Linked DNA regions of Tribolium castaneum. The protein of the gene in region 1 purifies or fractionates together with the protein of each later gene. This does not show direct contact. Links are inferred from orthologs where the notes say so. Each region holds a gene or a part of one and is shown in the gene's direction. Other genes may lie near its edges.

The links.
Region 2: the proteins of sau (region 1) and Rab1 purify together in Drosophila melanogaster (affinity purification with western blotting; 3 studies listed by BioGRID, with this or other methods). This does not show direct contact. The link is inferred for Tribolium castaneum from reciprocal best matches to the Drosophila melanogaster genes sau and Rab1.
Region 3: the proteins of sau (region 1) and Rab11 purify together in Drosophila melanogaster (affinity purification with western blotting; 3 studies listed by BioGRID, with this or other methods). This does not show direct contact. The link is inferred for Tribolium castaneum from reciprocal best matches to the Drosophila melanogaster genes sau and Rab11.

What each region holds. Positions count from the first base shown.
Region 1 is NC_087403.1:8,423,536-8,427,651, reverse strand, and holds the start of sau (Golgi phosphoprotein 3 homolog sauron), read left to right. Parts: upstream 1-1,181; coding exon 1,182-1,367; intron 1,368-1,419; coding exon 1,420-1,666; intron 1,667-1,722; coding exon 1,723-1,898; intron 1,899-3,653; coding exon 3,654-3,902; 3' UTR 3,903-4,116. Other genes in the region: tRNA pseudouridine synthase Pus10, read right to left, coding at 1-107, 159-295, 342-576, 622-735. UniProt on the Drosophila melanogaster protein: Phosphatidylinositol-4-phosphate-binding protein that links Golgi membranes to the cytoskeleton and may participate in the tensile force required for vesicle budding from the Golgi.
Region 2 is NC_087396.1:13,471,760-13,475,646, forward strand, and holds Rab1 (ras-related protein Rab-1A), read left to right. Parts: upstream 1-1,237; 5' UTR 1,238-1,411; coding exon 1,412-1,425; intron 1,426-1,800; coding exon 1,801-1,873; intron 1,874-1,925; coding exon 1,926-1,973; intron 1,974-2,023; coding exon 2,024-2,071; intron 2,072-2,120; coding exon 2,121-2,348; intron 2,349-2,393; coding exon 2,394-2,591; 3' UTR 2,592-3,284; downstream 3,285-3,887. Other genes in the region: uncharacterized protein LOC103313699, read right to left, coding at 3,381-3,887.
Region 3 is NC_087397.1:10,555,110-10,559,504, reverse strand, and holds the start of Rab11 (ras-related protein Rab-11A), read left to right. Parts: upstream 1-1,497; 5' UTR 1,498-1,733; coding exon 1,734-1,773; intron 1,774-2,066; coding exon 2,067-2,188; intron 2,189-4,395.

The sequences.
Region 1 (4,116 bases):
GTGTTTATTGTCTTTAAAAACTCCCCGATTACGTTACGACTAAGACCCTCGTTTTGTCCATTTGATTTTTTCAGTCTACTTTCCATCAGAAACATAATTGACGACTCCTAATACAACTTATTAATTTTTAAACAAGCAGTGGTTAGTCCTTTCGTTACCTCTTTTTCAAATTCATAAGTCGTGTTAAACTGGATTTGGAGCAATGAATCTTTATTGAACTTTTTGCCAAGTTTTTCGCCCAGTTTGTTTTGTATTGACAAGGACCATGCCCTGTTTATTGGAACAATGTTACGATCTGAAATGTAAGCATTTCAACTATTTCAACAAGCAAACCAAACAACCTTCAAAAAACTTGGGGAACTTCTCATTCATATGAATCTCCATGCTGTGTTCCCTTATTAGAACAGCAACCGGAAAACTAATGAAATTAATAAAAGTCTTGCAATCGTACTCCTTAACACCCTCCAGTTCTTCACACTGAACCATGGATTCAAGAGTCACATCTTGGAGCAAATCGAGACAAATTATGCACGAATTCAATTTCGTCTTTTTCGCCAACTGGTCGTGTCCGTTTTGCTACAAAAAAAACCTTTAATTGTTGAAAATACGACTTTTTTTTACCTGTGGATTATCATAATCGGCTGTGTTATCGCCAACGTAGCGTAAAGCGCACCTTTTGCAACACCCAGTCTCCAATAAAAAATTGAAAACTTCGGCTTTATCACTTTCGGTCATTTTTAAATAAAATAATGTGGTGGCAAAAAGTGAGGTTAAAAACGGTGGGTTATGCAACCCATTCGACAACAATTTTTTCCAAACTTGAAAAAATCCCGTGGTGGGGAAATCATAAAAATTGTGGGTGCTGATTACTTGGCATTGTTAGATTTTCTGTACAAAGGGATTAAATTGGAATTGATAAGAGCGTGACGTAATCGTAGGACGTAATCACTTTTTCCCGATTTTTGATTTTTTATCCAAAAAAAAGGCTTGAAGGGTTAGTTTAGTTTGTTAAATACTAGAAATGAATAATTTTCTTAGAAAGTGAGCGAATTTGTCGATTTTTCGGACGGAGTGGTTTTCTGCCAGCAGCCTACATGCTTTTGACATTTGCCATGTTGATGGAAGTCAGTTAAACGTCAAGTCTTGTAGAAAATAAATAAGTTATTTGATATTTAATTAAAATGAATCGGAGTGAAGGGCTGGTGCAAAGACGAAACATAATACGTGACTCAGGTGAAGGTGTGAAAGAATCGCAGAACAATGAGAAGAAGCAGGAGCACGACGAAGACATAGACGAGGGCGATTCCAAAGAAACCCGATTAACTTTAATGGAAGAAGTATTATTATTAGGCTTAAAAGACAAAGAAGTAGGGCTTCGCCCCCCGTGTGCTCACCACACCTAACCGTGTCGTTTTTAAGGGTTACACATCGTTTTGGAACGACTGCATTTCGAGCGGTCTCCGGGGGTGTATTCTAATCGAGTTAGGTTTACGTGGACGTGTGGAACTCGAGCGGGCTGGTATGCGCCGAAAGGCGCTCCTCACCCGCAAACTTATCCTCAAAAACGACACACCTACCGGAGACGTCCTCCTAGATGAAGCTTTAAAACATCTCAAGGAAACAGATCCACCAGAAACGGTTCAAAGCTGGATTGAGTACCTCAGCGGTATGCTCCAAATGCCCCTTTCTGCCCCCAGGTTCACTTAATTGCGTGCTTTTAAGGCGAAACTTGGAACCCCCTCAAACTGCGCTACCAGCTGAAGAACGTGCGGGAACGCCTAGCGAAAAACCTCGTCGAGAAGGGGGTTCTCACAACGGAGAAGCAAAACTTTCTGCTGTTTGATATGACCACGCACCCTCTGACCGATAACGTCACCAAAAGCCGTTTAATAAAAAAGGTACGTTTTGATACAGCAGGTGGTAAAGGGTGCCCCGTTCTACTAAATAGTAGATCAAGTAGAACTTTAACGATAGGCAGGTAAAGTACTAAGAAGAGTATACGACTTACACTTGCGAATTATTCCCTAATTACATTGTCTTCATTTCTATTTTTTTGTTTTCGTTACGTTTTTACATAATTAAGTGTATTTATGTCCACAACTTTCAAAATCTTCACTTTTTTTAGTTAAGTTTTCTGGGTAGTCTATATCGTCGTATATAGAAAATATCATTTTTGCTTATAGTTTAAGTTTTTAAAATTTGTAAAAGCTTTGAAAGAGTGTAACTGAGGTAATTATGCAATACTCCTTCCCAAAGCTTTTATAAATTTTAAAATTGTAAGATATAAGCACAAATGTATGTTTCTGAGAAAAAACTTATTCTTCACCTTTTCTTTATTTTTTCCTATTTATTGAATAGTTTATTGTATTTATTTACACTCTCTGGTGTAAATTATATTCGACACCGATTGTGCATAACAAATATTTGGAAAATACTAGTCTCTAATTCGACTGCCTTGAACTAAAATGCAGTATCTGCTTTTAATCTTTCAGTAGACCAAAAAATACTTATTTAACCGGCCTCTTTGAATGACTAACTCTTTACTCATATTGTTTAACTTAAAAATATCGTTTTTTTAGGACAGTTTAAGACGTGAGTATTAAATTATCTAAAACAACGTGATATTAAAGTATAAGTGGATATTGAGGTATTTAAAATATGCAGGATTTGTCGAGCACGACGGCGTAGCCGGAGTGCTCGTAAAAGAGTTATACATGAATACTTTACGTTAGTTTTTTTATTGGTACACTTTGAAATCATAAATATTGATATTACAAATATTGAAAATAATGTAATGTGAGATCAGTTTACCTTTCGTTGCCATGGAATTGATTATCATTTTAATAAAAAATGTTAAAAAAGTTAGTATTTATTTTCACTTTTCTTGGGTTATTATGTTATTAATGTTGCCATGGACACTTTAAGAAACGTGCTGCTGTGTGCTTTAAATAAGCAAAATAGATTGCCAATAATAAACTAAAAGTTCGATTAAAAGTTATATTATTGTATAAATGTATTCTTTTTTACACCTATATGAGTTATTTTTACGTAAACAAATGGACTACGATTGACTGTCTCTAAGACATTTTGTAGATACGGTGTTTTACCTTGGGAAAAGGAATGTTTTATTACAGTTAGTGTTTATTCATTTAGAAAAAGAATTGCTAATAAGTATTTAAATGAACCTAAGCGTAAAAATAATGCTAAATATGTAAAAAACTCATCAAAAAATTTTTTGGGTACTGTGTTTTTACTTGGAATTGATTTGGTCCCATTCCCATTTTTCAACTAAAGGCCAGGATATTGATAAATTAATTACAATTGTTAATTATTTACAAATTATTAAATAATGTATATATTATTGTAATGTCACAAAATTACGTATGTATGAATTTTAGCTTGTTAATATGTTAGTTCCTGTGGGAAAAAAGGGTTTGGTTTCGTCTTAAAAAATCCTAACAGAATTAACTAACTTATTAAACTAAATAGCACGGAGGTTACGTATGTATGCAAAATTTCAGCTGGTTCGGCAGCAAAGCAAGTTAACTATTGTTTGCCCTTTAGAGATCGGGAAATACTTTGTTATTTTGAATTTAAGCAAAGTGTGTCTGAATTTCTGGCGGAGGGCTTGGGGTAAAAAACCGCTTTTTCAGATCCAGGATGCCGTACTTACGAAGTGGGTGAACGACCCCCAGCGCATGGACAAGCGGATGTTGGCGTTGATTTTCCTGGCCCATGCTAGTGACGTTCTGGAGAACGCTTTTGCGCCCCTAAATGACGACGACTACGAATTGGCAATAAAGCGAGTACGAGAGTTACTTGACTTGGACTTTGAGCAAGAATCAGTCAAACCAAACACTTCGGAGGTACTGTGGGCCGTTTTCGCCGCTTTCACGAAATGAAAATAAACTGTTTTTGCTACTAAATTTTAACTATAAATAAATTACGTTGAAATATTGAAGTTATCAGTTTTGTATTTAATGTGATGTTAGTTTGTACATTGGAAATTTTTTCTATGTGGAGTACACAGGCTAGACTAGGATAATCAGTTTCAGTGGTAATACACAGGGTGTTTAGCTTCGTTGATGTTTAGAGGCTTCGGACATCAGGAAACTA
Region 2 (3,887 bases), on another chromosome or scaffold:
CGAAATTACTTTGCAATTATTTTCCTAAAATATATTTTTGGGCTTTTTGTAAAAATTGGATAAACCTTCTGGACATAAACTTCAAATTTTAAGCTTTATGGGCAATGTCCGGCTTTCCATAAGCAGGTCATAACATTAAAAAGAGACAGTGAACACGTGTTAAATTACTGGAGATCCAAAATTCCTTCAATTATTTACAAGTGATCAAAGAATGGACGGATAGGGCCGATGGGATTTAGGGAATAACAAACAAATATGTGACGAATTTAAATTTTATTATAGTGTCTGTGCGGCGGTAACGTAGCTATTTAGGTTTTTTTAGGTATTTATTGGCCGAACATCTGGAGACGGTTGTTTGATATTTGTCATAATAAATAAATAAAAAAGCAGGTACTTACGTTTCAGGGAACTGGAGTTTATTTCTTGTTTTTTTTTGTATTCGTTCATGGTTTTTCTTAATTTAATATTCCCAGTGTAATACAGATGGTCTACAGAGTGGCATTTTTACTTGTTACCTTCTTATGAGTTTTTTATAACTTCCATCAGATCAGTAACAACTATTTACCTGATATCGTTCCAAGTATGTCATATTTCAAAGATTATTCTTTTGGTTTTATTTTTGTTCTGTATAATCTTTTATGAAAATTTGGTATTCCTCGGGAATAAATGATTTTTTGAAGACGTTAATACTTTTCAATTTGCTTGGTTGGTGACAGGAAAACTGAATTGAAATTAATTTTCAATGACTGATTACGGTATTTTTTCGGAAGGATCTAACTTTTTTTAATTTTTTTTATCGTAATTTTACTACAAATGCAATCAAATTTTGCTGGATTTTGTTCTTTATTATATTATCGGTGTAAAAATCTACCACAGTTTAATAAAAGGTTTAAAAAAAAATAAAAAAATAATAATTTGGGTAAATAATATTTATATACTATAAAAAATATAGTACTATAATGATCTTATTTTATAATAATTATTAAATTATCACTATTATCCCTCCCTAATTTTATTAAACCTCCTCGAGCAGTTCCCCCACAGTTAACAAGGAAGAAAAACGAAGAAGGAAAAGAAAGAATGGAATTTATGGTCTAATAATGTAAACATCGCGTATACTTGTCGCGTTCCAGTTAATTGATATTTCCACTGATAAGAGTAAGATAACATTCCTGTTTTAATCAGAACTTTGAATGTGGCGCGCCCGCTGCAGTGCTGTCATCTGCGCCCCACCGTTGAAATTACCAGGACAAAGTTGTTGCGATACGTCAATCGCAGTAGCCATTGTCCTAAATTTGCTTATTTGTGTATGAAATTTCTGTAATTTAACGTGTAAATTAGGGTGACAGCAAAGAAAAACAGACGTAAATAGTGGTGTTTAGAGCTATTGTTTAAAATAAATACTTCAAATATGAATCCAGAATAGTAAGTATCGATTTATTTATTTTTTGACTTGTTGGAACTACAATGTAGTATTTTTGACGTGTATTGCGCAGTTTGCGTCAGGATTTCGGTTTTTTCTCCCAATTATCATGCTTTCCAATTCGCGTAATTCGGCAAAAGCGAAGAGTTTGCATTTTACTGGTGGCGGCGATCAATTTCCTATGCGTTTCCACCCACTATTCACGGCAACTCAATTATATGCAAGTGGCACGTCACTCGCACTTCATGAGTCAACCGCTCCAACTTGTGATTTTGTAGTAATTTGAAAAAATCCGAATTCCTTGTGTTATCTCTCGGGGAAACTCCGCAGTCAAGGCTGCTCGCTGCAGGAATTTCATGATTTTTTCTCACTTTCAGCGATTACTTGTTCAAACTTCTTCTGATCGGGGACTCCGGCGTGGGGAAGTCGTGTCTATTGCTTAGGTTTGCGGTGAGTCAAAGCCAGACATTGGCCCGAACGCATTTTTATGTCGTGTTTACAGGATGACACTTATACGGAAAGTTACATTAGTACCATTGGTGTAGATTTTGTAAGTACCCACTCACTTGCCCTAACGTGCTGTTAATTGTCTGTTTATAGAAAATACGCACAATCGATTTAGACGGGAAGACTATAAAATTGCAAATAGTGAGTGGCCGAGGTAATTTCGGGCCCAACTTAATCAGTGTGCTTTCAGTGGGACACAGCAGGGCAGGAGCGGTTCCGAACGATCACCTCGAGTTATTACAGGGGGGCACACGGTATTATAGTGGTTTACGACTGCACAGACCAGGACTCTTTCAATAATGTGAAACAGTGGTTGGAAGAAATAGACCGTTACGCTTGCGATAATGTAAACAAGTTATTAGTGGGAAATAAAAGTGATCTTACTACGAAGAAAGTGGTGGATTACACAACGGCTAAGGTACGGGAGGTGGGGCCAAAGGGGCTGTTTCATGGCTTGTTTTAGGAATACGCGGATCAGTTGGGCATCCCGTTCTTGGAGACCTCGGCGAAGAACGCCAGCAACGTGGAGCAGGCCTTCATGACGATGGCTGCGGAGATCAAGAACCGGGTGGGGCCCCCGTCCTCGGCCGCCGATCAAGCGAGCAAAGTGAAGATCGATCAAGGGCGCCCAATTGAAACAACCAAGTCGGGATGTTGCTGAAAATTTAGTCACATTTGTTTGCAGGTCATCTCTTATTTTGTATGGTAGCAGTTTCCTGCTAATTTATATTATAGTAATATCCGTCTTGTATGTATAGTTATTTTAAACCTGGTTATGTTTCACTCTTTCTTGAACCTTGTTATAAATTTTAATGTAATAAACACCAATATCATTAGCCTAATTATTGATAAACACGTTTTCAGTTCGAATTTCAGCGTTTTTAGGGAGGAATAGCCAAACATCTTAACTTTTGTACTTCGAGACTTGGCTATTTGCCCTAAAAACGTGTGATTACTTAGGTTTTTCTGATTGTATCGAGTTTAATTTTGGGTTTTGTTAACACTATGTGATTTTTATTGACTTTACGCAGTATGATACAAAATTTCCCAAAGTGTTTGTTCCATGATAACGTCAGTTCAGTTTTAAGTAGGAAACACTTAGGCATGCACTTGATACTTGTAAATTATGCACACGACTCCTTTTCGTTTCCAGTCATTTTTCTACATGGGGTTGAAGTTTTAGTTTGGTAGAGGAACAAACTTACCGATGACTTAACCATTTTATAACCGTTTAAATTTTGTATGATTGCTGTGCATCTATGGTTAAACAAATCATAATAGATTGTCATTTTTGTAGTTCATATTTGTATAAGAATTATTGTAACAAGTAAAGATTAATATTCAAATCGAATAATTATTTTATTTTTATTATTAAACTTTGGTCTTATTTATAGAATTTTAAAGACAATACAATAGTAATACAGTTAATTCATACGTGGCCACTCAGTGACTACAACATATCCAAAAGGTCTTGCGTGCTTATATTAATTGACGCTTTCTTTTTAGCTTTTTTCGGTGGTTCTTCAGGCTCAGTCTTTGGCGCTGTTGAAGCTTTGTCAACAGTTTTTACAAGAATTTCACTTGGGGCCCTTTTCTGGGTCAGTCTTTTAGGCAAACTGGAAGTCAATGGAATATCGTCATCGTTCAAAAAATCAAAATCTTGGGCGGACGTTGAAGGTTTGCTTTCCGAAGGGACCGAGTTCTCTTCGTGATTAGAAGCATCATCTGAATCAGTCTTGTTGTCAATATCTGAACTGTTTGATGCTTCGGATTCTGATATAGTTTCCAATTTTTTAGTTTGATTAGTTGTTTCATTTTTTCGTTTCTTGCTCTTTACATTAACTGGCAAATTCACTGTAGGTCTGCCGTTCTTAAATGCTTCCAGCAGTTCGGTCAAGTGCTGAATACGAAATTTTTTCTCATTTAAGATTGATAAAAACTGGCCAAACTGCTCTTC
Region 3 (4,395 bases), on another chromosome or scaffold:
GTTTTTGCTCTTGCCAACTGGAATTTGTACGCAAGATTGTGTTTTTGCTCTCGTGTCTGGTTAGTTCAAATAAGGACTCCTAGGCCTTATTTAATGATGGTTTAGCGCCGCTTTCGTTACGGCACGCTTTTGAAGTGTGGCGTAACGGGGGCGGGGCTTGTTTTGCAACCAAAGCCTTAAAATAGCTGCCTTGTTCTACTTTTTATAGGAAAGCTCAAATTTTCATACTTTGGTAAGAACTGAAAGATTCTATAGTACAATTCGCTATTTGAATTAAAAAATTGTATAGCGTGTAAATTATTTAAAAATTGAAGAAATGGTGCTAATTCTTATTCATACGTTAAATGTGATATCCACTGAATGTCTATAAAAATTATTTCTGACTTGTTGGAGTGGTTGTTCTATTGCATTTATGTCGAGCTTTAGAGGCCTGGAACGCGAAGAAAGACCTCGATAGGCGGGGCTAGTGCGCAGTGGCGTAGCAATTAACTATTTAAATTGATACTTCCTACTATTCGTCCATATATTCAGTCGTAGCAATACAATAGGTACAAAAAGTTACATCTTGTTCTATTACACAAGAATAAAAAATTGTTATTTATTGTTTTGTAACAAAATAAATTCATAGATTGTTTGCGCACCCCCACCATCGCGGTCATTCTGTCATTTCACGGTCTCTACGGCGTCAACTGGCATTTAATTAAAAACAATTGGAATCGTTGAGGTGTTGTCACTGTGACTGAGCAGTTTTGAAATGTTTTTATGGACAGTCAGTTGTATGCAACAATAAATTATTATTGTATATTATGTACAATACTCTAGGGATTTGTAAATATAATTATATCGTCGAAGTGTAATGGTCGGTCTAAAGGTACTAACTAACCACTTGCGGGGTTTTTGTTAAGTTGTTAGATGGAAAAATTGTGAATTAGTTGAAGAGAGCAAGGAAAATTAACAAGCACTGCCTTTTTTAACTAAAAAGAATAAAAGCATTATTTAATAATCTTGCAGTAAATCAAAATAGTTTTGTAAGAGCATAATGTTTAATTTTTTTCTCAGAAAAAAAATGCTGTGTTACAATTAGTTTTAATGATACGCTCATAACTTAATGCTTAGTTAAATATTTATTACATTTCCCCTCATTCTAAAATTAATTTGTAACACCCTCCTAGCTTAAGTATGGATTAATTTAGCATATAATTTTTCTAGTCTATTGGAATTTTTTTATCGTTTAAATATATTATTGATTTAAATGTTGTTTATAGGTCATAATGTTGTTCCTTAATTATGCAAGAAAATAGTAAAAGCGTATGCACTTAGGAAATTATGATTTGAGTGCCTACATAGTGTAAATGTGTGTAAATAATTATATATTTTTGGAAACATCCCGTCTCTGATTTCCAACCTTGGGCTACGCCACTGCGTTGATGGGCAATGTGGCAGTGCACGCGCATGCGCAAACAATCGAAAATCTGACAGTTCAAAGGGGCGTTCTAATCTGCGAACAATAAAAGAAGAGTGGGTCGCCATTTTGTTCGCTATAAAATCGTAAAGATCTTACCAAAGTTATATAAAACATCCCTGACCGAAACCAAAACTTATCGTTTGAAATGTGTCTGTGATATAAACAGTGGAGTGTAAATAGCGGTATATTTGTGATATGCACTAATTGTCTGTGTGTTTTTATTTTGGTACATTTTGGAGAGGGTGCAGATCAGCTGAAGGGACAGAAAATGAGTTCGAAGGACGATGAATACGATTATTTGTTCAAAGGTAAGCGTCCAATTGGGGCCCTTGTTATCGCACTTTGACGTTGCGGACCTTGGAGGTAATTGACACTTGACGTAAATTTTGTTCCCGTGTGACAAGTCAGCAATGTCAGAGGTCAACTTTTCCAAGTCCTTACTCAAAAATAATCAATTAGAGCGGCATCAGGGGCCCCCTTCATGCCCCCTGTGCACCGGTCACGAACAACTTCAATTAGAATAATCAATGATTTTGGCTTTTAAACCGTACCTGACAGAACGGTTCAAAATGCAAATGTTTACGTGCCGCTTCCTTTGCAGTTGTCCTCATTGGAGACTCCGGGGTAGGAAAAAGCAATCTGTTGTCTAGATTTACTAGGAATGAATTTAATTTGGAATCAAAATCGACAATAGGAGTGGAATTCGCGACTCGTAGCATGCAGGTGAGTCGAACACCAATAACACAAAAGGTTACTGCATCTTATTTAGTCACGACTCGAATTTCCGTAAATATCATAGTCCCACTTGCTCAAATCTCTTACTCATATTATCAGATTCTGACAAATGCGGGTGGGTGTAAGTGGATGCATAAACAACTCAAGAGACATTATTTTCCGCTCTTTCAGTCTTGTGAAAGACGTCATAATCAGCTGGCGAAGATATCCCATTATCTTAATGCACCGTTGTGTCATTGTTGACCCACTGGGTTGTGAAAGTTGACATCCCATGGTACACATATCAGTCACCTAATTTGCATTATATTTTTTTAAATCGGAAATCTGGGTTAAGTAAGTGTTGTAGAAACGCAAAATTGAGCATAATATCCAGAACAGCTCATTTTAACACTGAACTTATGTGCGAACTATGAAAGATTACAACTGTTTTTGCTACACTCATTACAGCAACAATGAAAATGTTGCCACTAATGAGTATGACAAAGGAAAGTCGATCCCGTGTCTGTGATTCATCCATTTTTTTATCGTTGCCAATTGGGTAACAAAATTTTGATATTATCTAAAGTGCTATTCGGAAAACATGCCCCAGTTTGGCTACAATTTAATGGTAATTTGTGCTCCTATTCGTTTCTGTACATGACGTCACGCTTGATTAAGTTAATGTGGAAAATTTAATAAAGAAATTGGTGATTTTTTTCGTTCACCAGAAATACGTAATTTAAGGTGATGGGTGAAATATCGTTCGTGTTCCAGACGTAATTTCGTAATTAAATGATTCCATACAACATTCAACTTTTCGTGAATATTTTTAACCATTATTGATTAATATTTCACTGTGATTGCTTTCCTGAACGTTGAAGACTTCCTCGTTTTACAAAAAACAGTTTGTTTTGTGAACCATTTATCACATAATTTTATTATTGATTAATGTAGCCTGTTTGAAGACACAAATATAATGGTTAGTAAATAGGCAGTGGTAGATTAAAACTGTCTAGCAGAAGTTCAGACTACCCAAAACATGTTTTCGAACATTTATTTACAAGGAAATAAAATGACCCTCCACTTGTCATGAGAAATAAATTTGCGGCTCAGCCCTAAGGATATTGACCGCCATCAAACGTCAACATACAAACAGTTTTGGAACTCTTGTAAACGAAATATAGTGCAATCGATTTTTTAAGAGTTTTGCGAGGTTGAACCATAACTTGACTCTAAATAAAAAATACACTTCACTGACCATCTATTTTGTTTAAAACTTTAATAAGGTTTTGTCTCTTCAGAGTTTTCTTTATTATAAAAACATGTATCAACAAAAAAACAATCGTTTCGCATACGTTGTATGAAAATAAAAGTTTGCTCTTGTCGATCTTTTATTTATTATTCAATAATTAAATGGGTGGAGTTACACTGAATGATCTAACATTTAAGAATCTTTGAATAAAAAATTATGGAAAACCGTATGTGTTTATTTATTTGCTTGATGTCATTAAGTTTGAATTGAAATTTGTTGCATATACACTTACTAAGTGAAAAAAAAGAATAATTGAAGAAATTTTAATGTATTATCGCTATTAAAGATTCTTCAGAAGCTTTTACTCTTCTTATGAACCATCATCTAAGTTGTTAAAGATAATTTACGATATAATTAACTTATACGTTATTTTATGTGAGAAAAAATATTTAAACTCGTATCACCTTTATTTTATCCTATCAACTGACAGGAAACAGAAAAAAATGTCTGTAACATCTAATAATTCAATTCTCAGAGATGCATCAGTTTTTCCTCGGTTGTTGAGTTTGTTACATAATGATTTTGTGTAACATTGAATACCTATTAAAAAAGTGAAGTATAACTATTAAAGCTTTCTTAACGACATTTATTGTTAAGTTATAAAAAACTGTCAATTACGGTAAAAATGTGGCGTCGCGTTATTTTATTTTACTTTAAAAATTATTATTAATTACATAAGTTTTTATCAAAACCTTCGTAAGTATATCGGGCATAGTATGTTTGCTTATTACAGTTAGTTGCAATAAAATAGGAAAATTGAATTCTCTTTAGATTGTAACAATTTATCTTTATCACATTCATACAATTTTTCTGCAATGTTGCAGTTATATCTTTATTTTTTATCTTATAAGGAGACTATTGGCCCACATAATTTGATGCCTTCGTCAAATTTATCAAATTGTGA